Linked DNA regions of Lepisosteus oculatus. Each later gene encodes a partner of the first gene's protein in a complex. Links are inferred from orthologs where the notes say so. Each region holds a gene or a part of one and is shown on either strand. Other genes may lie near its edges.

Evidence for each region.
Region 2: the proteins of pds5b (region 1) and waplb are in contact, whole or in part, in a crystal structure (PDB 5HDT), measured with the Homo sapiens proteins. The link is inferred for Lepisosteus oculatus from reciprocal best matches to the Homo sapiens genes PDS5B and WAPL. Residues at the interface, in NP_055847.1 of Homo sapiens: Gln47, Phe88, Ala92, Pro93, Ala95, Trp137, Val138, Lys139, Ser140, Asn142, Ile143, Phe145, Glu146, Glu187, Gly188, Asp189; in NP_055860.1 of Homo sapiens: Lys7, Thr8, Tyr9, Ser10, Arg11.

Annotation. Positions count from the first base shown.
Region 1 is NC_090700.1:14,801,977-14,811,301, reverse strand, and holds the start of pds5b (sister chromatid cohesion protein PDS5 homolog B), read right to left. Parts: upstream 3,705-9,325; 5' UTR 3,623-3,704; intron 3,195-3,622; exon of another isoform or gene 2,328-3,194; intron 2,311-2,327; exon of another isoform or gene 2,112-2,310; intron 1-2,111. Other genes in the region: uncharacterized protein, read right to left, coding at 6,783-6,900, 8,048-8,124, 9,296-9,325. UniProt on the Homo sapiens protein: Regulator of sister chromatid cohesion in mitosis which may stabilize cohesin complex association with chromatin. May couple sister chromatid cohesion during mitosis to DNA replication.
Region 2 is NC_090699.1:27,849,010-27,857,801, forward strand, and holds the start of waplb (wings apart-like protein homolog), read left to right. Parts: upstream 1-4,797; 5' UTR 4,798-4,936; exon of another isoform or gene 4,937-5,155; intron 5,156-8,158; 5' UTR 8,159-8,180; coding exon 8,181-8,700; intron 8,701-8,792. Other genes in the region: btbd16 (BTB/POZ domain-containing protein 16), read right to left, coding at 294-382, 940-1,045, 2,610-2,766, 3,090-3,147, 3,278-3,405. UniProt on the Homo sapiens protein: Regulator of sister chromatid cohesion in mitosis which negatively regulates cohesin association with chromatin. Involved in both sister chromatid cohesion during interphase and sister-chromatid resolution during early stages of mitosis.

The DNA.
Region 1 (9,325 bases):
AGCAAAAGCACACATTGCAAAATGCCATGAAAGCACAGCTCCAAAAAAAGCAGATAATCTGTCTGGGAAATGAATCACTGTGACACCCAGCACTGAATCAGAACTTCCAGACTTCGTTTCTCCTCATCAAGGTGACTTAGACCAGGAACTCTATGGAGATATGTACGAGGAGCGGACGACATTACATTTTTCTTCAATCTGAACACCTACATTTTTCCCCAGCTGCAAATGTGGGCAAGGCAGCAACAAAAAAAGCAATGCTAGAACAGCAAATGATAAAGAATACTTTGTCCAAAAATTACGCACAAACTGCAGCAATCCTAAATTTTATCTACCACTGCAACTATTACACCCCCTGTAACGATAAGGCTATAGGCAGTGGATGAGTTTCCAAAATTCCAAAACTTGAAACCACAGTGACACTATTCCCTTTGGCGCTCAACTCAGAACGAGCAAAAATGCAGCATTCCAATATGTTCTGTTAACGAAAGCTTGATATTATCATGTACCTTTTAAAATCTGACCTCTTTCTTACTACAAAACAACAACAGAATACTGCAGTTATCTGTCCAAGCTGGGAATGACACTGTTTGATTAAAACACTTTAAGCCCTGAAACACTCAGACATAATGCTTCTCTTCTTGGCAATCAGAATTATTAGCAATGTAGGCAGTGAATTTGCTTTTTTTATTCACTGCACAAGTCTCCCCGTACTAACCTGGAAGTGAAAAAGTGCATCGTATTAACCAGAAGTGCTCTATTCCTTCTCAACATAGAGAGCAACTGCAAAATCTATTTCTGTTGCCAGGGCTCACGAGACATGTGCCTGGGTTCACAAAGCAATCTAAAGGTATTTACACATCTGTAGCTACTAGTGTTCAAGATCTGCTGCATTCTTACTTCCCGGATGAGGTAGCTGTTTCACAGTTCAAGACAGCAAAGCACAGCAAGGAGAACAATCATAAGGATGGCCAACTTCAGCCCTTTGTCTGCTGGTCTTTACTACACTTCTGATCTTACTTTCTTAATTCACCTGATGATTCAGCTAAAGGGTCAAGCCATCTGTGACCGGAATACACTGCTTGACACCCGCAGGACGCCAGCCTTTGAGGATAGACGGAAGTAGTGAGACAGTTAACTTACTTCCCGGTCAACACTGAAACATGGACATAGGGTCACACCTGACAACTAAAAATGAAGAGCACTGAGGATGGAAACCAGGAAGAGCATCTTTACACCAAGCGTAGTAAGGGTCTTGAACAAACTATGCAGCTAATATCCAGAAGCTACGCAGGTTTTCAAGAAACAAGCTGAGGTGATTTTTGGATTAACAAATATCAAGCAACCACATAAGCAAGAGTTTCTCAATGGAAACCTCTTGTCGTCGAACAGTTCAACAAAATGGGATCACAACTCAAATTATCCACTTGTACCATTATTAAATTGGCTGATATACACATCCAAAGAGGTAGATTTGTATTCGAGTGGCTGATCATTCAACAGAAGCAACCAGAGTGAATTATCTTACCCAAGGATACAACAGTACTGGCTAACCCAGGACTTTTAACTCAATTTGCTATTATGAGTTGTGAGAACAGGGTACTAACTACGACTGTCGTTTCCCTGGCTGCTATCCTGCAGAAGCCATACAGCTGGTCAATCACAATCCTCGCACACCATTTATGATGATCACCACTTTATACAAAATATATTTCTGAGGGAATTTTTAACACTATTCTCGGGTTCAAAACAGGGATCCTCAGTTTTGGTCCCAGAGGGCTGGTATATGTCTTTGGGGAAAAAAAAACAGTTAAACAGAAGGGAGAAGCTGTCAAACTGGTGCAGTTATGAGCCACTGATGAGCTGGTTCAAGTCCTAACAAGCCCATCTGGACTGAAAACCTGTTAACAACCTATATCACACTTTTGATCAGGAAACAAGACAAACTGGTGGACACCGACAAAAGCTATTACTTTGTCTTTCATAGACGAAGCGCCTTGATGGACCCCCTAAGCTTTTAAACAAAATATCAACGTGCAAACTAACGTTAAAAAGCCAAACAACAAGAGCTTAGGGGTTTAACTTCGAGAAAATGTAGACGTTACTGTTACCTCCACGTTTCAAGTGGCGAATCCGGAATCCCCCCCTCCGACACCGGCAAAGGAGAAGACAGGTCAAAGCAGAATACACGGAGCAACGCCTTGCAAAGCCAAACACCACATAGAGCAACAGCCTTCGTTCGGATAAAAACAAAACCTTTACGGTTGGTCACTCTGTCGAGTCGAGCATAAGGTCGGCGGATTGTACACGGCGGTGAGAAAAGACACCTGAACACCGCGCTCTGGCGTCGCAGGAACGGCAGGCTACACTCCCGCTTCACCGGGTCGCCACGCAGAGCTCCCGCACCGCACCGACTTCACTTGTGGGGTCGTGCTCTCGAAAGGCGCAAAACACCGTCCCAGCGGAAATACGGAGGGGTGGGCGCCTTTCATCTGCCGAAAAACGACCCCCCCAAAAAAAAGAACGGTGCAGCGAGCGAGGTGACACAAATGCAACCCCGTCGCGTTACGTAATCTCCCCGGAGCCCGGCTTGGTTTCGAGAGAGGGGCTGGCGGTCGCGTTTCAAAACAAAGTTTTGGCGAGCTCTCCCGCACCACCCCGCCCCCAGCCTGTGCTACACGGACCGCCAAAACCACGCAAATTCCCTCCCTGCGTGCGAGACGCGTGGACCTTTCCGGGAGCGGGGGGGGCACTGCGTTCCAAAAGACGGGACAACCCGTCGCGTATTTCCACCCGATGAAAGCAATCGCCGTCCAGCCCAATCGTGTAGCTTCACGGGCACCAACAACGTGTGTAGCAGCAGGCAGCCGTGGCAGCCGATGGCTTCCCGGAGACCTACCGGACCGTCACAATGCCAAGATTAACCCAAACAACTGATCATATTTTCACACGGCCGTGCCGCTGCTGCTGCTTCTTGGTTTGGGGGGGCTGGGGGGGATTTGAGTTTTTCTTTTGCCACACCGCTAAATCCAGGGACTCGGTCAATGAAGACAAAAAAAAAACCCAAAACAAAACATGCACCAGCTTATCATCAACCGGATTCCGGTCGAAATCAAACTACCGCGAAACGCGCCACCGTGAAAACCGGGTCTTGAGGAGATTGTTATTGCCAGTGTTCAGTGCGACTGAAGCAGGCAAGCGCTAATTAAGGAAAACACACTGTCGTGGTACGGACACCTCTCACCAGGCCAGCTCTCATACACACGAGCACCGTCAAAACCGCAATACAATCACACGTTCAGGGAGAAATATACATGTCAAAGAGCATGCACGGAGCCCACATATGAAGTCCCGTCCTAAATGCAAAAACTATGTTTGCGAAATAAACATATTTCACATTTAGAGGCGGGGGGGAGGTGAACCCGTGGAGTCTCTTTCTCTTCCCCGGTGCTGCAAGCACCATACAGGCAGGAAAAGCGGACAGCAGCCGCCAGACAACAAACGCTTCTTTTAACAGTCTTTCACGCACTATTCTTTGCACTTCTAAGCACCCCTGCGTGACCATTGTTGTTATACACCTTTTGATTTGAAATTTGCAGCATTTGGTGTTAATTAATCCTACCTAGTTTGATGAATAACAGCCAATCGTGTCTTCTTGCAGCTCTGATCCTCCTCCTGGCTTCAAAATGGCGCCAATTTGTCTCCGGCTGCACCAATCGAGCCACCGAGAACAGACAGTCGCGGAGGCACAGCGCCACCTAGGGGAAGATGTCCAACAGAGCGCAGCCCCAAGTTCTTTCACAGACCCACAGCGCCGCCTGCAAGACTCTCTCCTTTTGCAGTGAGATAAATATTCCGTCCCTCTCACTTGACACACACCTTGCACATAAATTAATTCCAATTTCAGTGAAGGTTTTCACCTCGGGTTACACAGTGACTACTCCAGCATCTTCCAGACACAAAATGAAATTCACACCGTGTGTAGTTGCGTATTGTCACATTAATCAATCTTGCACAATTGTTTCATTTTGACCTGCAGCTCTGTATAACGTATTTTATGATGAAGAGTCACACTTCACATAATGATCATATACTTACATTTTATGTCTAAATTGGGGGGGCTTACTGACAGGTATTTCTTGGAAAGGTGTTCATCACGATAGGCTAAAAATCCCATTGGTTAAATGTTTTGCTTTAATCGTCTTTCAATGTATGCAACCATTACGTGTTGTTCTTTTCCATACATAGTGCATTCGTAGTATTTAAGAAATTCTGTTTTAAAAATACTTTCATTAAATCTATGTTGTTCAGACCTGTGATGATTCAGAATACTGAACTACTTGATAACAGAGTGCATTTATCCCAGTACCTTTATTAATACCCTTCTGGCCGATTTGCTCCATTCCATTATCTCTTTGCTTGTTATTTATTACAAATGGTTTAGCCCTCGTTCACAACCAGTACTTGTTAATTAACTGGATTTGACTTAAGTGCCTAAATGACTAAATAAGAAGCAGAAGTGCCATATAGTAATGGTTAAAAATACATTCATTTTTTTGTAAAATTGTTAAATTCACCTTTGAATGGCGTTTAATTCATTGTTTTATTCAGCTATATGTGTTTTGTATTAAAAAAAACAGACATGGAAACAATAATTATTCTTGACTGGCAGCAAGAATGCGTGGCTCAGAGCAGGAAAGCAGAGGTCCCAAATTGGTCCGATCTGTGAAGTCGGAAAATATTCATCAATGTATTCGTAATATATTGCATGCAAAAAAATCTATTAGGATTCTCAAAAGCGAAAAGGCTGTGTTCATTTTAAAATATAAACTTTAATGTCAATGCGTTTTTAAAAAGTGATTTAACAAACCTTTGAAAGCCTGGGACTATTTCATGTCATTGCTCCTGTTTTAAAACATTGGTTTGTATTGGCTCTTAATTTGCAGGAACCTCTTCAACCTTTTCTTTAGGACACAGGCAGCCTTTACTTCCTGTGCTCTGCTTTCCAACTTTCTCCTGGATTCATGTGGCAGTAAACTGCCTTTGATGCATCTGAATAGATTTAGGTTTGCTTCGGTTTTGACCGGCGGTTTAAATATTATTACGTTCGAAAATAAATCCCTGGACAAAACAAGAAAAACGTATAAAATATTTGCCTTCAAGAAAGTTCAAAAATGTCGTCTCATGTCATTTGTCAAAGCCGCTTTATACCATACGGTGTCGGGGGAAGCCGGAGCCTACCCGGCAAGGAACGAGCGCAAGGCAGGGTACACCCTGGACAGGACACCAGTCCATCGCAGGGCAACTTCAAGCCAATCATACAGGGGGACAATTTGGAGGCCACGGTAAAGGCCGAGGGGGGGAATTTGGCCCCGACACCGGGATAACTCCCTACTCTTAACGAGAAATGCTCGGGGATCTTTAATGACCACTGAGAATCAGGACCTCGGTTTAACGTCTCGCCCGAAAGACGCAGTGCAAGAATGTACTTGTGAAAATGTTACAAAATTATTTGTTTTTATCCGAGGAACAGAATGACTCTGGAATCAGAATCATACATTAAAATAACGTGATGTATTTATGTAAATTGGTAAAATACTTAAATACTTAAAACTTTTAAAACAGTGTGAGCTACTGTACTTCCATTCATTAATAAAAATCTTTTTTATTTCTTTTAGGGTTTATTATGCCACTGACTGCAATAAACAGGTTTTCAGAAAGGCTTACTTGAGAGTCTGTCTTCACCATTTTCTAATGACCATGTTTCTAGTTCAGCACTTCTAACTTCCTGTGTTTCTAATATGTGTTCACTTTGTAAATTGCTGTCTTTATAACTTTTGTTTTACACCTAGTGCACAGCTCTTTGACATGCTACGTTTATAGGAAGTACATAAAAATGTTTATTATTATGTTACTGTGCAATAAACATTACTTAAACATTTCAGAAACACAAAACAAACAACAAAACTCCAAGTATTAATGGTGTATTTAATCTTAGAATTCTTGAAATTACTGTATTTTAAAATAATTTATCAAAAGAATTGATCATTTTTTTTAGTAGGACTTTATTTAACAGTAACAAACTGGTCAAAATATTCCAAGAGTACAAAAATGCAATATAAAACATGAATAAATGGGTTAATACTGGTAGCTCCTGCAGACTAAAAACAGTTGAAAAATATATAACCTAAAAGGAAAAATCAATGTATTGGAATGAGAAAAGTCTTTCACATAATACTGAAATTAACCAAATGGTTCCACATTAGAAGGTTCTTTTATATCACAGCTGTAATAAATAATAAAAAAAATAATTTTTTAAAATAATTAGAATTTCCAATGGTAGATCTGACATATTGAAACAGGCAACAACTCAGAACAGGACAGTATCTCAAGTTTAGTTTACACCTGTTAGCCTTCCAGTCTACTACAAAAAATAAAATCTACCAAACTGTTTTCTATGCATCAGATTTGTAATGCCTAAGAATTCTAGTGAAACTTATTTCAAGAACATCAGAAATCAGATTATCTTCTATGTTTTTTGTTTGTGTAAAAGAACAAAACTTTACCTGCATAATTAAAACTCCCTTTCATTTCCACACTTAAAACCCATTGCAAATACTGCAAATACTCAAAGTTGTTATATTTAACATAATCTGAAGAAAGAAATATTCAAAATTGTACTTTTCTGTGCCGATGTATTAAAAACATCCAGCATCTAACACATTAGCCAGAGGACAGCGTGGCAAAGCCTTGCTGCTATACTGAAGGTTTTTAATCGGATTTCAATCCTGACATTTCCAGGGCTCCTCGGAATTCAGCACTTGCCATTGTGATCTGACCATTTTGAACTTCTCCACCATGTTCCCTATGACCCTTTCTGGCACTCTGCAGCCGGATCTTCTGTTTCAATGAAAAATTGAAATGCTTCACAAAACCAGCATGATTTCCAAGTATCCTGGCATACCCACTGCCTCTCACGTGCACAAACACAAATGCATTGAAGCTGGAGTGCAGAAGATGGATAATGTTCAACACAAAGACATATCTGATTCCGTTCAAGGCTTTCTAAGTCAACGATACGTGCAGTTGACCTACATAAGCAACATTAAACCAGGAAATAAGACAGCATGACCCTCAGGCCTGACTTTGATAACCTGGCAGCAATGACTATCTCTGTAGTGGATGGCTTTTGTACCAAGAGTGATTCTGAAGAAAAGCAGCACACTTGTACAAACACGGAAAGAGCTTATACGAAAGCAATACTGGTACTGGAAATTCCGGTGTTTCATCAATTTTAGCAAAATAAGAGACTGTTCATTACTGTGATTGGTTGCTGAGTAACTATGAATTGGATGGAAGGAGCAGAATGTTCCTGGTACTGGGACAGGAGACTTCTAAGGAAAATGAGGTTGTTGCTCTAACTGGTGTAGGTGGCACTCTTGGATGAGAACGTCCAAACGAATGCACCAGAATGGCGACTAGGGACACAGCTTGAGTAGATGCTGTCTTTCAGACAAGCCAGAAATCTTGGCTACATGTTCCCATTAAGGATCCCATGACAAGCAGGGGTGTTAGCCTTAATATTCTGACTGCATCCCAATTAAAGTTTGTTCAATCTGGCCTAACTACATCTCCTCCTTTAATTCACTTGACCTGCTGTGTAGTGGGACAGCTGGCGCATAATGGGTGCTGCAATATAGGAGGGATAAATGGCCCCCCTTCTGCATGCAAAGCATTTTAGGATATCTTGGACTTCATTAATATTAATTATATCTATAATTAATTATAATATATCTATAACCACCTACAACAGTCAAGCCACTCAGAAGCCCCACATGTTATGTTAAAGAAGGCCAGTGTAAATTGCCAATCAATGCAAGAAATGTTTAGAAAGATTAGGTTTTCTGCATTATGAATCACTCAAGTGAACAGCATCAAATTCATATGATTCAAAATCAAAATAGAAAGCCATATCAGCTTTCTTTATTTTAGATCTGGAGCCTCTTAAATTAGGTAAATTAGAAGATAATTTGTGCAGTTAATCTACCTGTACAATTCCGAAGCATCCTGCTCACTGTTGCCTTCCGGTTCTTTAAAAATGACTTTATAATAATACTGAAGAGCCTGAAAGAAAATATCAATAAGAAATAATCAGCAACACAGCTTCTTCTGTATTTTAAGTCGTAACATTTAGATTAAACACAAATAAAATGAACCAAATAGATCACACTAAGTAATGCCATTAACCACAACTGAAATAAAACAAGAATTGTTTATAATTCAAGACAACTTTCATAACAAGATCAAACATTATGAATCAGAAAAGGCACAACTACAACAAAGCATCGAATAACTGGTGATCATCAGTGTAACTAAACAAAACAAAACAGAATACAGATTGGTATGCTTTGCTCAATTAAAATAAATTAAAACAATTTACAACACACAACAAACAATACAAATCTGGCGGTGTTAATTAGAGGACTGAAAATAAAACAACAACAACACACCCTACACAGTACTGGGTGTCTAAAATAGAATAATCCTAAATTATCCTGAAGTTGAAGCATGCCCCCACACCAGTGGAGTACACAGAAGAGGTGGAGCCCTTCAACACTGATCCATCAGAGACTGTCTAACATGGGCTCACCACTGGGAACACAAGGTCAAGACTAATTCAAGAACAAAGCGTGAGCACCCAGCAAAATCCATCCTTGAAAGAGGCTTCACACCTCAGCCACAACTGCTATAATAACAGCCAATAATGTCTGGGATTCAAAGTGGTAGTGCCAACTGAATAATTTTTCAATATTGGGTCAACCTGATGGTCCAACTCTGTAAGGTCATCTGCCCAAAAAATTGAAGTATTGATCCACCGGTGTCTGCTGCTACTTGACAACATTCCACCTCAAAAGGCCAGAACTGACAAGGCCAGCACTACCCCTTGTGGGTTTGAACAGTTAGACCATCCATTCTGCATGGTAGATACTGGACCTGAGAGACTTGATACACTGTTCCCAAGTCTGTCAGTGCTAAAGGATAAATGGGCTAGGTTCTATACAACAAAGGGTGATTACTTAGTAATGCTGAGACATGTTAAGTTGTGCTGCTACATAAATGAGCTGCACAACTTTCTCCCCTGATGACCTATTTTACAAAAAGTTCTATTTAATAAAATGACATCAACTGTAGGCTAGAAAGAAAATTTATATGACCACATTGTGTACATTATTTGTTGTTTGGCTATAAATATGTTCTGATAATGACACAATATTTTTAAATCACTCTCACTTACCATTTGAACATATGGTTTCATGTGCCAGAG
Region 2 (8,792 bases), on another chromosome or scaffold:
TTAAGGATGGAAAACGTAAAAGCCAAGACTATCTGACCGGAGTCCTCTGTATTTGAGTTTGAGTAGGTCAGGCACGATAAGGCAGGCTTCCCTGGCTGCTGTGCCAGAGAGGGGGAAAGGAGTAAGGGAAGATGGGGGAAAGAAACAGGAGAAAGAGAGAGAGATGAGGGGAAGACAGAGCTTTTGAGAGACAGCGAGAGGGACAGAAATCCAGAAAGGGGCAGGGGAGATTCAGGGGGAGAAAGTCAGAAGAGACAGAGGCAATTGAACAGGAAAGGAAGGGAGAGGCTGACCTGGGCTCGTATTGTGAGCGACTCTGCGGGAGTAAAGGTAGAAGAGGTCTTCAGGGGTGGCTGGCCCAGGTGACCCTGTGAGCCTCACACTGTATATATGTAAATAAAGAGGTAAACCGAAAGAGTTTCACACCATACACACTGGAAAACATGGTAAATTACTGACAATCATGAACGTTTGTTCTTGTGGAAATATCATAAAAAGGCAATATATCACATTTGACAGGGTTAATTATAAGAGAGTCACAGTCAGGCTTTCAGAAATTTTCAGGAATCACCCATGCATCAAGCTCCACTAGCAATCCCTTGGGAAATATTCTCCTAAGGGATTGCTAAACACAGAAATGATTAAACAAATTAAAGCTGTCATCAATCGATTAAACACATTATTGCCGTCATATAAGGCCTTGGCCTTACAAGACCATGAGGAATAAAGGGCTTTTATTTTTTTGCTTCACATCCCAATGGTCACTCTCACCATATTTTCAACACTGATCACAACCTGGACCACTTACTAGCTCTATAATCCAATGGTCTGAGACACCGTTCTGTACAGTATTTTGGGGGGAATTTCAAAAGTGGGAGAAAGTCGAAGTCACAGTTAAGCGTTTTTATTTTTTCTTGTGTTTTTTGGGGGGCACTGTACCAGCATGTCTGGTGTGTGGGTGTCGCGGTGCCACGCGAGAGGACTAGGCGGGGCAGAGTGGGCTCAGGGCCGGTGGGCTCCTCACACTCACAGAACGGAGAGTCAGCTGAAAGACAGACAGGAGGCAGGGCGGGACTTAGTCAGGAAAAGACGAGCCTGTTTCATGCAGTGAGTGTTCCCTTGACACCGAGCTGCATTTCTCCAGAGAAAGATTCAAATGTGGCAGTCTTTTGCTGTTGCCCTCAAAAAGAAAAAACTCCAGCTCATTTACTGTCCTTGAATTAATAACCATTTTCAAATGCATTGCTCGTTCATAGATATAGAATCTACATACTGGAGGAATTTCCCTTAAAATCAATGAGTGCATAACACAAAACCAACAAATTGTTCTTTAGACATATAAAGCAAACGAGTACAGCATATCTTTGCCTTCATCAGTAATAAAACCACAGAAAGGTGAGGTGCATGTGTTCGCGAGTGGAATTCAAATTAACGCCGCTCATGATTCTTGCGCTATTTTTGCCAAGAACGCTAGTTTACATATCCCTCCAGCGACGGTGGACGTTTGCGCGTTCGTGTGGTGCCTGAGTGCGAGAGCCAGCCTCCAGATGGCCCCTGGCAGCAGCCTCCTGTCAGATCTCTACAGGTGCGCGCCAACCCTCCCCTCGTCAGCCCCACACAGGCTGGCGTGCCTGGCACCGGCCCGCGCACTCAGCCCGCCTGACAGGCAGGACTCCTGGCACAGGGACACTGGCTGCAGGGCAGCCGGCACAGTGTGGCACAGGCAGACTTCAAATGGCACAAGTTGTACACACCGGCTCTTTGCTTCGGGGCATTAAAGGTTCTTGGTGTGCGCGCTAGGATGGCTGCCAGGAGACTTTAAAGACTCCCGAGTGGTTTGCTGTTCCCTCTCTTCACGACGACAGCTTCTGCAACGTGCCACCGCAGAAAGATCAATTCAGCAGCTTTTGAAGTACTGACGTCTTCCTCATTTCCCCCTTTTATCTCTTAGGACTTTGAGCACCCACTTGTTTTCTGTTGGCAGGTTTAAGACGGAATCTGTCTGTCTTCTTCTTTCTTGAGAAACAAATGTAAAAAAAAAAAACGTGGAAAAAAACAGCGTCCGAGGTATAGAGAGACGACGGGGAAACGAGGCAGGGGGAAAGCGCTTGGGAACACCCTGCCGGGTGTGTGATCGGACAACCGCCGCGACAGTGAAGAGACCTGCCGCAGGCTGTCAGGGGCGCTGGAGCTCCGTCACACCTTTCCCCTGAATTCAAACTCTCCGCACGACAATATTAAAAAGAAACAAAAACAGTATTTTATTAGTATAAAACAGTATTTCTGCCTCTGTTCTCAGAGAAGGGTTTCACGGCTCCCAAAGCAGAAAAACAACAGAAGCGAAACTCAACCTGAAACTAGGTTCACACCATCGACTCCCTCTGAAGCTCCGCGTTGTGCTCTGGGCTGCCGGTCGGAGCGCAGGGCAGTAAGGAAGATTCCCCTCACCTCTCCCGGTGCTTTGCCCTAACCGTGCTCCTGCATCAGTACCCCCCGCGGAACAAGGGCACCGGGGCAGGGAACACTTCCGGCGGGCTGAGAGATTTCGACCAGGCCTGGTGCGGAGGCCTGCAGGGGGACCTCCCAGCGCGTCTCGGCGCGGTGCCCACCTGTCCTGATGCCGCGCAGAGTGGCGTTGATGGTGGCCCGCACGGCCCGCGCGGCCTGCGCCTGCCCGAGCAGGTCGCTGCCCAGCGGGAAGGGCAGCTGCCAGCGGTTGGTGTTGCCGGCCTGCTTCCTCAGGCGGCCGCGCGGAGAGGAGGGCACCTGGGGGCGAAACACAGTCACTGGGGGGGTTCTGGGTGACAGAACCTGCGGCTGAGCGCTACCACCATCCTCCTCCTCACTCTACATTACCCCCTTGTTCTTCCTTTCAAACACTGTCAAGCGAAACAGAACACAAAAAGGACTGTAAATGTTCGTATGAATATCCAGTCCTTTGTTTCCCCGGCTATCCGTCCCTGCGAGTGTTTTGTGTTTCCACAGAAGACTGCTTTGAGCTGGTGCATCTGGGTCTAAACCTTGGCACAGAGATCTACTCGGGGCTTCTCTGTTTTGTTTTCCGAGAGAAAACACCAAAGAGCTCTTACCCTGACCTCTTCGGAGGGTTTGTCCTCTAGCGCTTTATAAGGAGCTTGCAGCAGAGATCTGGTGGCCGAAACAAGAAGGACAATAACGAGACATTATAGGCTGAACTGCAGTCCCCAAAGAACGGCTTTTTATCGGAGTCATTGAACAGCACCCCACCTGCAAAGCACAGTCCAGGCGTCTCACTTACATGATGCAGGCAGCTGCTGGCGTCATGTGTGTCGGGGGTGGGTTGGGCACGAAGGTGTTCTGCAGCGGATGACCTGGAGCGAGCCGAGGAATAGTGCCGCTGCCGTCCCGTGGCAAAACCTGAGCCATAGTCCAAGATCAGTGGGAAGCTTGAGGCACTATTTTTTACCTGCTTCTTCAGCTTTTGCGGATTGTGATAGTCACGACCCCGCTTCCCGTTTAATCACTACCACTGTGTCGATGGCTGTGTCCTAGGAGGCGGTAGGAAGTTAAGACGCTATACTTTGCGACGTCGCTGCGGTCATTCGGAACAACGTGAGACTGGCAATTGTTTCGCACGTGACACGGGAATTCTTCTGTTCTGGACTGTCATCCCCCCCACGGACTCGCTCCTCTCCGTTCCCACGACAACAGAGACGCGGTGGCTATGGAAACCTGCTTTAGACAGATTGCCGCAGTGATTAAAACCACTTGCTTGTAACATCCGTCCTTCACAGCAGTGGAAAAAGTGTAGTGTTTCAGACTGATATCGGAAGAGAGCAGTGAATGGGAAAATTAACATTGTGTAGACATTCTAAAAAAACTATATCGCATCGTACTATATCGTTTGTCAATATCGCCAATCAACCTCAAAAAGTTAATGCTATTCAATACTCATTTATTTGTTTTTCTATACAACATGGAAAACACAACAAAATACAATAACTAATATAACTGTCGTGGTTGCACGGGTGATGTGCAGTTTGCCTTCAATGTGGTTATAGATTTATTTTTTAAGAAGGCGAGTAAACTACTTCTCGGGTGCCAAGAAAATGTACAGATGGAAACTGTTCAAAAACCTCGCCACAAGAGGGCAGTAAATACCACTGTATCGTGACAGCAGACCTGGGGAATTCAATTTTCCACAGAACGCCTCCCTGTGCCTAGCGCCGGTGCTTCGCAAACTGGTTGGTTTTAAAATATAATTCAATGCAGACATTTAATTCATTCATCGCATATATTCAAGATTTAATAGTGCATTAAAAGGGGTGTCAGAATTTTTAAAATACAGTCTTAATTTCAAACGAAGAGGAACAGTTGCAAATGAAATAACCATTAATGCACTTGGTGGTCTCCAGTGTGAAGTCACTGATAAAACCAAAAACATCGACTGACCTAATTTTTATTTTACTCGGATCTAAATATGAATATAATCCAAAGGACAGTCAAGGCTGATATTTGTACGCGCAGCTATACGTTGAAACGTAAAAAATTGAGGCTGCTAGGAGTTAACAACGTAAACCCAAAGCATTTCTGAGATGTGTAAATAAAGGGGACAAAGCAATATGTATTACATAATCTTTGCTCTCCTAATGTTGCTTTTGATCACTACAGATCCCATCATCCCGTTGAATTTACGTATTAACGTCTCCTTCTAGACGCTTCGCCCTCCCCCTCTCTCCTCTTTGATTTCAATCTTAAACCGTTTCCTTCTGCCGTTGGCCAATCAGATCTTCACTCACTGGGACGCAGAACGGCGGTTTAAGCACCACAGGGCAGCATTGCGCCTTGTGATTGGACAGACGGCAGCTCGCTGCGAGGTGACGGTGGTTTTGGCAGCGAAGGAAAGAGGGAGGGGGGAACCCGAATGGCAGTCAGCGGCGCAGCCGAAAAGAGTCAGGCGAGTTTTGAGATAAATTAAAATAACAACAATAGAACTTTGAAAACAAACTTTGCTCGTCCCTGGTGACCCCGGGCTCGCTATACTACACGAAGGGATAGCCGCTGGTGCCGCTGGAAGTAGTTGCCAGCTTGTTTATATTGTGTGAGGGGGCCGAGAGAGCAGGAGGCCCAGTCGAGTGCGAGCAGAGGGAAGCGGCCGCCTCGGAGTGTGAGTGAGGTGAGTGGCCGGCCCGGAGGTTTCCAAACACGGCCTGGTGATCTCCGAGTAAACGGGGGGGTGGCTGTTGCCTTTTTTTTTGACGCAGGTGCGATCGCAGCGACGCAGCCAGGCAGTACCTTAGCGAGCGGACGCCCCCGGTCGCGGTTAAAGCCAGAATCTGTGGGGGCTGGTGCGCAGGCAGGCAGCTCGGCGAGTTTCAGCCCAGCCGTGCGGGCTGAGGAGGGGTGTAAATAACGGTGTGGAGATAAGCAGCTGTCAGGCCTGCGTGCCTCGCGGAGCGAGCGAGAAGAGCCTAGCCTCAATCTATGTCTCGGGTAGCATTTAAAGATTTCTTTCGAAAGCGGATCATTGCGATTCACGTATCGAATAACTTGAACAATGACCTGCGAGAACTGCAAGTTCAATGAAAACACCGTGACGTTGGTCGTGTTGTCGAAAGTGGGACATTGGGGCGAATTGTCATGGACCCAGGGCAGGATGGGGGAGTACAGCATTAGTCGTGTTTTCTCCCCGTGTTGACACGAAAGCTAAGAAAGCTCAATATATATTTTCACCGATTCTTAAAAATACGGTGTAGAAATAAAACCCCTGTAAGTGACGTTCGTTTTCAACACTTTAGCTAGTCTTTAGTGCTTTTATGGTTTGTAGGCCCGATGGAAAACAACCGCTTCTTTTGTATATTACCGTTATGAAGTTTATAGGATCATGAGTTGAGAGGAGTACGAACTGATCGTGATCAAGTACACATCTGTGAAAAGCACGGTGACGCAGATATCCGGCTTTCAGTCTCCACATTAATAGGATCGATTACCGCAAACTCTCACGCAAATTGATTATTGCCAATCGAAGAGAAAGTTCCGGTGCGTGCTATGTTAAAATTAAACGCTGTTTGCTTGACGGCCAGTTACCACATTGGTTGAATGATTCTTCAGTCACGTCGCAAGACTGTTGTAAGTTAAATTTAAGAACAGTCAGCTTTAGTTTAAGAAAATAAGTTGTAATTTGTACTAGTTTGAAATGCATCGTTTTTACGCTTTGACAGCCCAAAACAATGCGCTCGGGCTCACGCATGCGTACTGAGAAGAAAATCGATCCTGCCTGTTGTATCCAAGTTAGCGGATGGCAAGGTGATTTAATATAACTGTATATGATTTAATTTTACAAGCAAAACATGAGTTGATTCAGTATACAGGACGTTTTGGTTTTGTTTGCTTGGTCTTTGTTTAGAAGTGAACGGATTTTAAATGCTGTTGGTCATAAGATATTTGATGTCATACTTGGTAATGTACAATATTTGAGCAGCAGGGTTACTAATTTTAGTAGTTTTTCAAAAACAATGTTGCGCTTCTTAAGTAGTATTACGTACGGAAAACCATCATCAAGATGCGTTTTATATTGTTTTTCATACAGAGTGTCAAAACGGTATAGTGTTTAAAAGCATGTAAATAAACCTTTTTAAAAAAATTATATAAGAGGTTACAAACAAGAAGGTGCAATTCACCTTGTCTAGCACAAGGCTACTACTTGTAGTAGCTAATGATCTCAGTATCACCTTCAGGTCTTTCTGGAGAGAAGCTATTATATCAGCTTCAGAAACGTTACTGTTATGGGCTAGCATGTTCCAGACGTCACAACTCTTAGTACAAAAAGAACCTTCGGTTTTCAGTTTTAAATGCACTTCCTCTTAGTTTCCATTTTTGTGCTCTTGTTTGTGTTTCATGATTCCAAAGACGTCGATAGGGAAGACTGTCAGCTGCAGCAGTGAGATAGTGAGATAGAAAAAGAGATTTTTCTATTGACAAAGTAGAAAGTACTATTCTGATTGTTATACTTAAAAAAAATACCGTATAAATAGATACCACCCTTAAATGCAAGTTAAAACGTTTTGTGAATGTGAATTGCTACCCAGTTTGACACATTTTCTTAAGTGGATTACTACTTTTTGCTTTTCTGATATGCAACAATCTTTCTAAATTGTAATCTTGCAGGTTTTTGTGATCGACGTTAGTATTGCATATATCGGATAAAACGGCTACAAGAAAAAAATCAAATGTTCCTTTCTTACACCAGACATAACAATGGAAAACTGAAACATTTCTCTTGTACAGTCTTGAACATTACATGTATTCAGTATAACTAACTGTAAAATTCGTACCCAGTATTATAGAACTTTCAGTATTGCGCAACTAACTTCTCTGCTACGTTTGGAAACAAAATGGAGAAGGGTGCTTTGGTACCAAATGCAGTGGAGTATTTTTAAGATAAACAGTGAAATATTTAAACATTTATAGTGTAGCGATTTCTATAATGTCACATTGAATAGGATACCTGAAGAGAATATGTGGGAATTTGGATCAGCATTTCAATATTGGAAGTGCATTTGTCACCAGGTCACCAGCTACGTGATATGCTTTGGCAATTTAGTGTGCTGTTTTTTTCTGGGGAAATTTTCACCTAAGCTGTGACACCTCGTTTCTCACAAATGTTGTAAGAGATGACCTAACATTTATTTGAAGCCATCTACCTGTGAGAGATTCTCTCTGCATTTGTAAGTTTTTGCCCTTCCATGGCAAAACTGAATATTATGGAATTTGGATCGCAACTGCAGGATGTTCCAATGCAAATGTGCTTTGAAATACAGGCTTGCCACTTCAGATTGATACTTTACTGATGAATGATTGGGCAAACAGCATTTTCTTTTAAAAATTCAATACCTACTACAACAAGAAAACTACAGAAAAGGTTATTCTCTTATTGTGGTAGTGAAGAAACTGTAACTAACATAGTAAGCATTAAATTACATGTCAAATTGTATTTATTTATTCCTCAATATATCCCTGTGGTATTTTTAGAAATAATTTCAAATATGAAAATCAAGAGATTTTATTCTCTTTATATGCTACTAAAACTGACATTTTAAAGGACTCTAGCATGATAAGATGCATTAATTGAGGAGCCTAAAATACTTTGAGTTGCTGACTTTTACTTTTTTTTCCACAGAGAATATGAAACAGAAGTCACAATGACATCAAGATTTGGTAAAACCTACAGTCGGAAGGGAGGGAATGGGAACTCAAAGTTTGATGAAGTCCTGTCCAACAAGCGGGCCACGCTCAGCACCAAATGGGGAGAAACCACCTTCAAGGCACAGCTGGGCTCCAAGAGGCCCAACTACAAGCCTGAGGTAACAGAGGCACCAAAAAAAGCCAGGCATACTGAGGATGATACCTCTGAAGACCCCTTTGGTTTTGACAGTGATGAGGACTCTAAGCCTGTCACCTCCCGCAGCATTCCCCAGACCAAGGCTGCTCCAGTCAAGCAGCCAGTGCCAGCTGTCACCACAGAGCCCCCAAGGATGGAAAAGCTGGGGTCAGTGCTGGAGGCCAATAGCAGGGTGAGCCAGCCTATCACTGTGGAGGCAGTGGCTCCCAGTTGCACACCTTCAGTTTTTGACCGTGATCTCCAGGGGCTGAAGGACAGGAGCACACACAAGGTCCCGGATGATGGCAACAGCAGAGTTTTGGGCATTAGCACCTCTGCAGGTAAGAATAAGGAAACACACATGGCATGGTGTGGTAACTGCATGTTTGGTTGTTTGGTTGTTAGTAACAAGTTGATCAAGGGATCTCATCCA